2 linked regions of the Macaca fascicularis genome follow. The protein of the gene in region 2 purifies or fractionates together with the protein of the main gene of each other region. This does not show direct contact. Links are inferred from orthologs where the notes say so. Each region holds a gene or a part of one and is shown on either strand. Other genes may lie near its edges.

What was found.
Region 1: the proteins of RHOU (region 2) and PAK1 purify together in Homo sapiens (co-immunoprecipitation; 5 studies listed by BioGRID and IntAct, with this or other methods). This does not show direct contact. The link is inferred for Macaca fascicularis from reciprocal best matches to the Homo sapiens genes RHOU and PAK1.

What each region holds. Positions count from the first base shown.
Region 1 is NC_088388.1:76,217,696-76,221,195, forward strand, and holds part of PAK1 (serine/threonine-protein kinase PAK 1), read right to left. Parts: intron 3,082-3,500; coding exon 2,885-3,081; intron 1-2,884. UniProt on the Homo sapiens protein: Protein kinase involved in intracellular signaling pathways downstream of integrins and receptor-type kinases that plays an important role in cytoskeleton dynamics, in cell adhesion, migration, proliferation, apoptosis, mitosis, and in vesicle-mediated transport processes.
Region 2 is NC_088375.1:20,340,868-20,344,942, reverse strand, and holds the start of RHOU (rho-related GTP-binding protein RhoU), read left to right. Parts: upstream 1-1,275; 5' UTR 1,276-1,507; coding exon 1,508-1,769; intron 1,770-3,454; coding exon 3,455-3,513; intron 3,514-4,075. UniProt on the Homo sapiens protein: Binds to and activates protein kinase PAK1. Plays a role in the regulation of cell morphology, cytoskeletal organization and focal adhesion assembly during cell migration. Also stimulates quiescent cells to reenter the cell cycle.

The DNA.
Region 1 (3,500 bases), on a different chromosome or scaffold from region 2:
GACCTAAGGGTTTATTATTATTATTATTATTATTATTTTTTTTTTTTGAGACAGAGTCTCGCTCTGTCGCCCAGGCTGGAGTGTAGTGGTAAGATCTTGGCTCACTGTAACCTCCAGGCTTCAAGCGATTCTCCTGCCTCAGCCTCGCAAGTAGCTGGGATTACAGGTGCCCACCACTACACTCGGCTACTTTTTGTATTTTTAGTAGAGACAGGGTTTCACCATGTTGGCCAGGCTGGTCTCGAACTCCTAGACTCAAGTGATCCGCCTGCCTCAACCTCCCAAAGTACTGGGATTACAGATGTGAGCCACTATGCCCGGCTTTATTATTATTCTTGCTTACACATCTGAAGGGTTTATTATCCATTTAGCCTGTTGAAACATCTGCCCAGCTACTGGCAGAAATTATTCCTGGTGCCTTCACCTCAGTCATCCAAGAACTGATCTCTTCTAGCAGGAAAGGAATATTAAATATAAGTGAAAACTGTTGCCACCTTGGTCCCCTAAATGAAGCATCTCCTGGGAAAGGTAAAGAAAAACACAGTAAGACCAAATCTTTACAATCAGTCAGCACTTAATTCAAAGAGTACTTACATAAGCACTAATTTAATGGCCACAATTAACTCTGGGCAAGAATTATCATCCTCACTTCACAAATAAGGTACAGAAACATAAAAAGATATGTCTAGGGCCGGGCGTGGTGGCTCACTCCTGTAATCCCAGCACTTTGGGAGGCTGAGGTGGGTGGATCACCTGAGGTCAGAAGTTCGAGACCATCAAGACCAACCTGATCAATATGGCGAAATCTGGTCTCTACTAAAAGTACAAAACTTAGCTGGGCATGGTGGAAGATGCCTGTAATCCCAGCTACTCAGGAGGCTGAGGCAGGATAATCGCTTGAGCCTGGAAGGTGGAAGTTGCAGTGAGCTGAAATCACACCATTGCACTCTAGCCTGGGTGACAGAGTGAGACTCTGTCTCAAAAAAAAAATATGTGTGTGTGTGTGTGTGTGTCTAGGATCACTCTGTCTTGTTTCCAACATATCCCAGCAATTATTATCTTCAAATCTCTGCAAGGCCATTCTAAGGCAGGGAAGAATATGTTGCATGTGGAGTCAGAGGCAAAGCTGGGACCAAAGAATAGAAACTACAGAAGGTAGTTTCAGTTTGGTGCACTGAAGCAATTTCCAATAATCAGAGATATCCAAGGATGACATGAGCATGTAGATGACCACCTACCAGCAACAGTGCACAGGGAACTCCTGCACTAGATGGGAGGTGGGAATAAATGAGAAAATAAAAGCAATCAGAATAAATTTCACATTTGCCCACACAAAGATTACCAACCTATTTGCATCTGTGTTGATATGCTCTGTTACAAGGGATAAATTGTCCATGCTAATCTAATGTCCTTTACTTCAGTACTTGATCGAACCCCTCTCATCGACTTAAGGATATCACTTCTATGTTGTCACTTCCTTTTTGTACATGACCATTTTCCTCCTCTCCACTAAATCATTCCCATTAGCACACAGACATCTTTTAGAAAAACCCTCCCTTGACTCCATTTTAAGAGAGTGTTCCATTTTTGTTACCCTTCCCAGCAAAATTCCTTTAAGAGAAAAAAAACCTGTTTATACATGCCATCTCAACGTCCTCTTCTTCCACTTTCATGAATTTAATTAGACTTTCATCCCCATCTCTCTACTGACAACTGATTGTTAAGGTCATTAAGAACCTCTACATTGGCAAATCCAATGTTCATTTCTCAGTTTCATCTTAACCTATCAATCACATTTGACACATAATCTACCCTCCTCCTCCTTCAGGAAGCACACTGTTCTATTCATCTCCAGGACACTTCACCTCCAAGATACTTCTCTGTTCTCTCACACTAGAAAGGCCATTCCTTGGTCTACTTTGCTAGTTCCTCCAACCTGTAAACAGTGGAATAACCTAGAGCTCAGTACTCAAATCTCTTTTCTTTAACAGTACTCATTCTCTAGGTGAGTGATCTCATCTACCTCTGATTTTAAATACCAACTATATATTATCTACTAATAAATTTATGATTATTGTCCTGACCCCTCACCCTTGAACTCTAGACTCTTAAGCCAAACTCTACTCCCAGCTCCACTTAAATGTCTAATTAACACTTCAAATCAGCACATTCAAAACCAACTCTTAATTACCCAACTTAAGTATGGTCTTCACCATTTCAACAGATGGCAACTGAATTTTTTCAGCAATTCAGACCAAAAATCGTGTAGTAATTGCTGATTCCTCTTTCTCTAATATTCAGTTCATCCTGTCAGCTAGTCCTTCAAGACATTTCCTGAGTCTGAGCACTTCTCACTTCCACTCCTACCAAGACACCACCACTCTGAACTATTACAACAGTCTCTCGCAATCTATTTTCCATAAAAGCGGCCAAAATGATCTGTTTAAAACATAAATCAGATCACATTACTCCTCAGCTCAAAACCCTCTAATGACTTCCCAACTCTGCAGAATAAAATAACTTACGAGAGAGAACTTCCCTCTCTGCTCTAAAATAGCACACCTCTTCCTCCATTACTCTCTTAACTTCCTTACTTTGCTTTTTCTCACAGCATTTACCATCTGTTACTACATATTAATTTATTTTATTTTCATTAGAATAGTTTCTTGCACTTGAAAGGGACTCAGATAGTTGTTGAATAAATGAATGAGTGACTTCTAATATTCCTTTTCTTTGACCATTTATATTTTAAGTTCAACAGTGACTAGTTGTATCCAGAAAAGGGATCTCCAGGTTGAAAGCCATAGAGAATAGCCTGGATTCTTATTTCCTGGGACTAGAGACAACAGCCCAAATAAATTGAAATAGGAATGGTAACACTCACTCTCAGAGGGTTTTCATTGAGGTATGGAGGCTCCCCTTCAATCATTTCGATGGCCATGATGCCCAGGGACCAGATGTCAACCTTGGGCCCATAGGCCTTTCGTGTCACAACCTCTGGTGCCATCCAGTATGGGGTTCCCACCATGGTGCTCCGTTTGCTCTGCTCTGGGGTTATCTGTGCACAGAATCCAAAATCAGCTAGAAAAGAAAAATAAGAGAAAGAACATACATTTAGGATATACACTCACTTCAGTAAGTGTTGACTGTGTGCCTACACGTAGGTGACAAGATCTGCCTGGCTTCCAGCTCTGCTATCCTTTGTCTCTCCAAAGTCACTTGACTGCCACCTTCATGTCTAGCTCCTAGCCTATTTCCTATTGAACCCTGAAGAGAAATAGGAGGAATATAAGAAACACCATCTCTGGCCTCCTATCTCTCCTTAAACCAGGGGACTTAGTGTTAAAGTCCAAGCTGCCCATTTTGGTCTCGATTGCTTGTCCCAGTTTTGCTTTGTTCTTGAAAAACCATTCTCATATTCTCAAATATGGCAACGAGGTCCTTGCCTTATTTCTTGGGCACGAGTCCTTGATTTAAACCCCAGTCACCTATGACTAAGC
Region 2 (4,075 bases):
TAGATCTCCCAGCAATGTAAAAGTGTCTTTTGCAAGTCAGGAGTCCTGGTTTCAAGCTTCTAACTTCTTGATAAATCCATCACCTGCATTCTGACAATGGCTATACGTTCAAGACTATGTTTATCATACACTCTTATTTTTGCCTCCAGGATTTTAGTTAGAAGCTCAGGTTCTGGGGCTAGACTGTTTGGGTTTGGATCCTCGCACTGCCACTTACTAGCTTGTGAAATTCCAAAACGTTACTTAATATCTCTGTGCCTCAGGTGTTCTCATCTGTAAAATGGCTGTAAGTAATGTTAAGATTAAAATAATTAGTTCATGAAGAGTGCTTATAACAGTATCTGACACATTATGAAAGCTCAGTATTTATTATTGTTATTTTTACTACCACTAGCATCAATATGTGTATTAATAATATGTGGCTCTTCTCACAGCACACTATACACCCCCAGGACTGTTTGTATTCTGATTTGGCTCAGAAGAGCAGTCCTTTTTCTGAATGGACTGTTGACCAGATGTAGAAGGAAGGCAGAGAGAGAAAGGAATGAAAGGGAAACGGAATACTTTGTCTCCGAATTATCTTTAAGTAAATGAAGGAATTGGGGCTATAAAAAAATTGCCGGAGCATACATGTATAAAGGTTCACGGCATGCCGAAAGAGAAAGTAAAAGGAGCATTCACAATGGAGTTGGCATCCTTTTGCTTCAAAGTGAGAAAAATCACACGATCAGCTGCAATTAAGACTTAAGGAAAAAGGCTGTCTGTTAATTCAATCTCATTCGCAGGACAGGCCTCCAGGACACTTCATCTTCCCCCCTGGGTGGAGCCCTTGCCGGCCGGGGGCTCCACGGAGAGGAATAGGAGGCGGCTCGGGCTTCCCGGCTCGTGTGGGCGCCAGAAAGCGGAACCGCCCTGGCCAGTCGCGCGGTGGTCACCCTCTCGGGAGCTGGGGAGGAGGCTGGCGAGGCTGGCCCGGCTCCTTCGGGCGCCGCTCCCCGGACCGGGTGCGAGGCGTCCTCCTGAGCGTCTGTTCCGGGTCCTCCCGCGCCCGTGTTCGCAGTCCCCGCCTGCCGGGTCGCGGCGCCGCCTCGGGCGCGGGTGCAGGCGCGCGGCGCGCAGGCGGGGGGCGCTGTGGCCTTGGCGCTGGGACCGAGCCGCCCGGCCGGACCCGCCTCTTTTCCCTCCCCGCCCGCCCGCCCCCCACGCGTCGTGTCGCCGGGAAGCCGGGCGGAGACAGAGCGCTTGGGATCCACGGCGCTCGGACCGCTGTCCTCCAATCGCGTGGGGCAGAGCGGCTGGCGCTGCCGGAGCGCGGAGCCACGACCCTCCCCGGCCGCCTTTGTCTGCTAGCCGTGCAGCCTGGAACCGCCACTCTCCGGGGCCGGGGACGCGCCCGCAGCTGTCGGTGACAGCTCCTCCCTACCGCCACCCTCCGGGGCGAAGGGGCGGTCGGGCCCGGCCCTGCTCGCCCGCGCCGGCAAGCCCGCAAGCCCGCGCTCGCGGATCGATGCCCCCGCAGCAGGGGGACCCCGCGTTCCCCGACCGCTGCGAGGCGCCTCCGGTGCCGCCGCGTCGGGAGCGCGGGGGACGCGGGGGACGCGGGCCTGGGGAGCCGGGGGGCCGAGGGCGCGCGGGGGGTGCCGAGGGGCGCGGCGTCAAGTGCGTGCTGGTCGGCGACGGTGCGGTGGGCAAAACGAGCCTGGTGGTGAGCTACACCACCAACGGCTACCCCACCGAGTACATCCCCACTGCCTTCGACAACTTCTCCGGTGAGCGGGCCCGGGGGCCGGGGCCGGGGGCGCGTGACCGCGGTCCGTCCAGGGGAAGGAGGGTGGCGCGAGGGTCGCGGGGCTCCCAAGGGGGCTGCAGGGCCCCGGGCGCGGCTCCAGCGGGGAAGCCGGACAAATGAGGCGAGTAGGACGTTTCCTAAGTGTCAGGGACTGGGCAAGCATGGAGCTAACAGGAAAGGACCACGGGGGAATGGGGAGCCCTAAAACCAGAGCTTGGAGAGAGGGGGGCTGAGCGGCAGTCAGAGCCGTTGCCAAAAAAAAAAAAAAAAAAAAAAAAAAATCTCACAATTCTCACAATTTAAGCAACAGATAAGCAGGAGTGAAACAGGTTGAGTTCTGGCTGCCGGGTCAGTTTGCTGCGTAGAGCAAAGTTTCCTGAGGGCGACGTCGCTGGCGCCGCTGCAGTTTCAATCAGAAGGTGACGCGCAGGTGCCTTTACCTGAGCCTCGCTCCTTTGCTTTTAGGCGGCTTAGCTCTCAAGGGGCGTGCCGCGGAGACGCCGGGAAAACACTTGATTTAGTGAAAATAGCGCGAGCGGCCCTCGTGAAGGCTTAGGTTTGGATGAAACCTGGAAAGTAAACACCATTTCTCTCTTCTGAGCCCCACCACCTTCCCTGCCCACATGGGCTCAGATTCTGATTGTTGGTATCCTTTCAGGATCCCTTTAAGCTACTTAAAGCTCTTATGTACCGGGTGCGATGTCATTTGCCTTGGTAGATACAAAGATAAAGGAATTCTCTATCTCGATATTCAGGTCTTTTTGAAATTTAAGAAAAAGTTGAAATTCACAGAGGCTAGTAGGAAACATTTAACTGTTTCGCTTCTTAAGAGAAAAGGTTGCTTCTCTGACCTTCCTTTCATCCCAAAGGCACCCTAGAAAAATGGGTGCTGTACTGATGGGTTCCCACCGCAGAGGATTGTGTCTTCCCCTCCCCCACCCCACCCCACCCCTGCTGCTGACTAGTATAAACATTGAGAGACAATTAGAAAGTTGTGTAGAAAGAGACAAAATTGACTGCTTAGTTAAAATAGAAACCTCCGCGACATGTCCTGCTGCAGGCCTCTCCACACTCCCTGAGTCCCCAAATCCCAGTGGAAAGGTGGGCATGGCTTTCTCTTTTCTTTTTTAATCCTCCTTTTGGCCTGACATAGAGATAAAGAGTGCCCTCACTTTTAAACAGCACAATGCGGGCAGCCTGTGTTTGCACATGTTCTCAAAACAAACTGGAATTTTATGATAAACCCTGAAGTTGGGGAACCTTTCCCAAGGGAAAACAGAATCATTTGTGAGGTTTTCCACTGATTTAAAACTGCAGGGTTACTTCCCATTTACCCCCAGTGTTGTTTTTAGGTCCTTTGAAACAAGTGTGACAGGAAAATAAATCTTCCAGGACTGAGAGAAAAGCATAGGCCTTTCTGGGGGCACCATCAAAGGGTTCAGGGATTTGCTGCCTGGTTCGTGGAGTGACTTGCCAGCGCTGGGTTTGTATACAAAAATGCCTCCACAGGGCCTCCTTGTTTTAGGCTAGTCCTTAATTCATTAGAGGACCTAGAATGGGAGCAGAGGTGTTTGGAGTGAGAATGATGGTGAAAGCTAAAACTATTTAGTATTCCAAAAGGAGTTAAAAGACACCTCCTGATTGCCATTTTGGTTTTGTTTTTAGCGGTGGTGTCTGTGGATGGGCGGCCCGTGAGACTCCAACTCTGTGACACTGCCGGACAGGTCAGTATCATGTTACAGCTCAGTGCTGGGAAAGGAAACAGCCTTTTAAAGATTTCCAAATAACCTTTGATTCCCCCAGTCAGTAACTAGGTCATTCGAAAGCCTCATGAAGTGGACCCACCCCTGCTGTTGGCCCCTCTCTGAGGGTGGGCAGGGGCCAGGGGTTGGCGGGCAGGAAGCAGAGGAAGATACCTCCAAACTAATAAAGCAGGATTTGGCCCAGCTCTGCATAGCCAGGCAAGGGAGGAAGCACGGTCAAGAACAGCTCTTATCTTATAGGAGTTTCTATTATTTACTCCCTGGTTTTTATGAAAAAGTTTCAGTGATGCTTTGTCGTCATTTCCCAAACTAAGTTAGTGATATCTTATAATCGTTTTATTAAAGGCCAGTGAGTCAGATATTTAAGAAATTTGTTCAAGAAAAAGATGGAATTACATCAGTAAGAGTTAATAGTTCCCTTCCTGAGCTATGGTTTGACTCGCTAGGACCAGCCCCATCCCTTGAAGCACAGATACATTTGTCAGAGCAGTCCTAAGCTGGAGGGATGAACTAACTGGGCTTA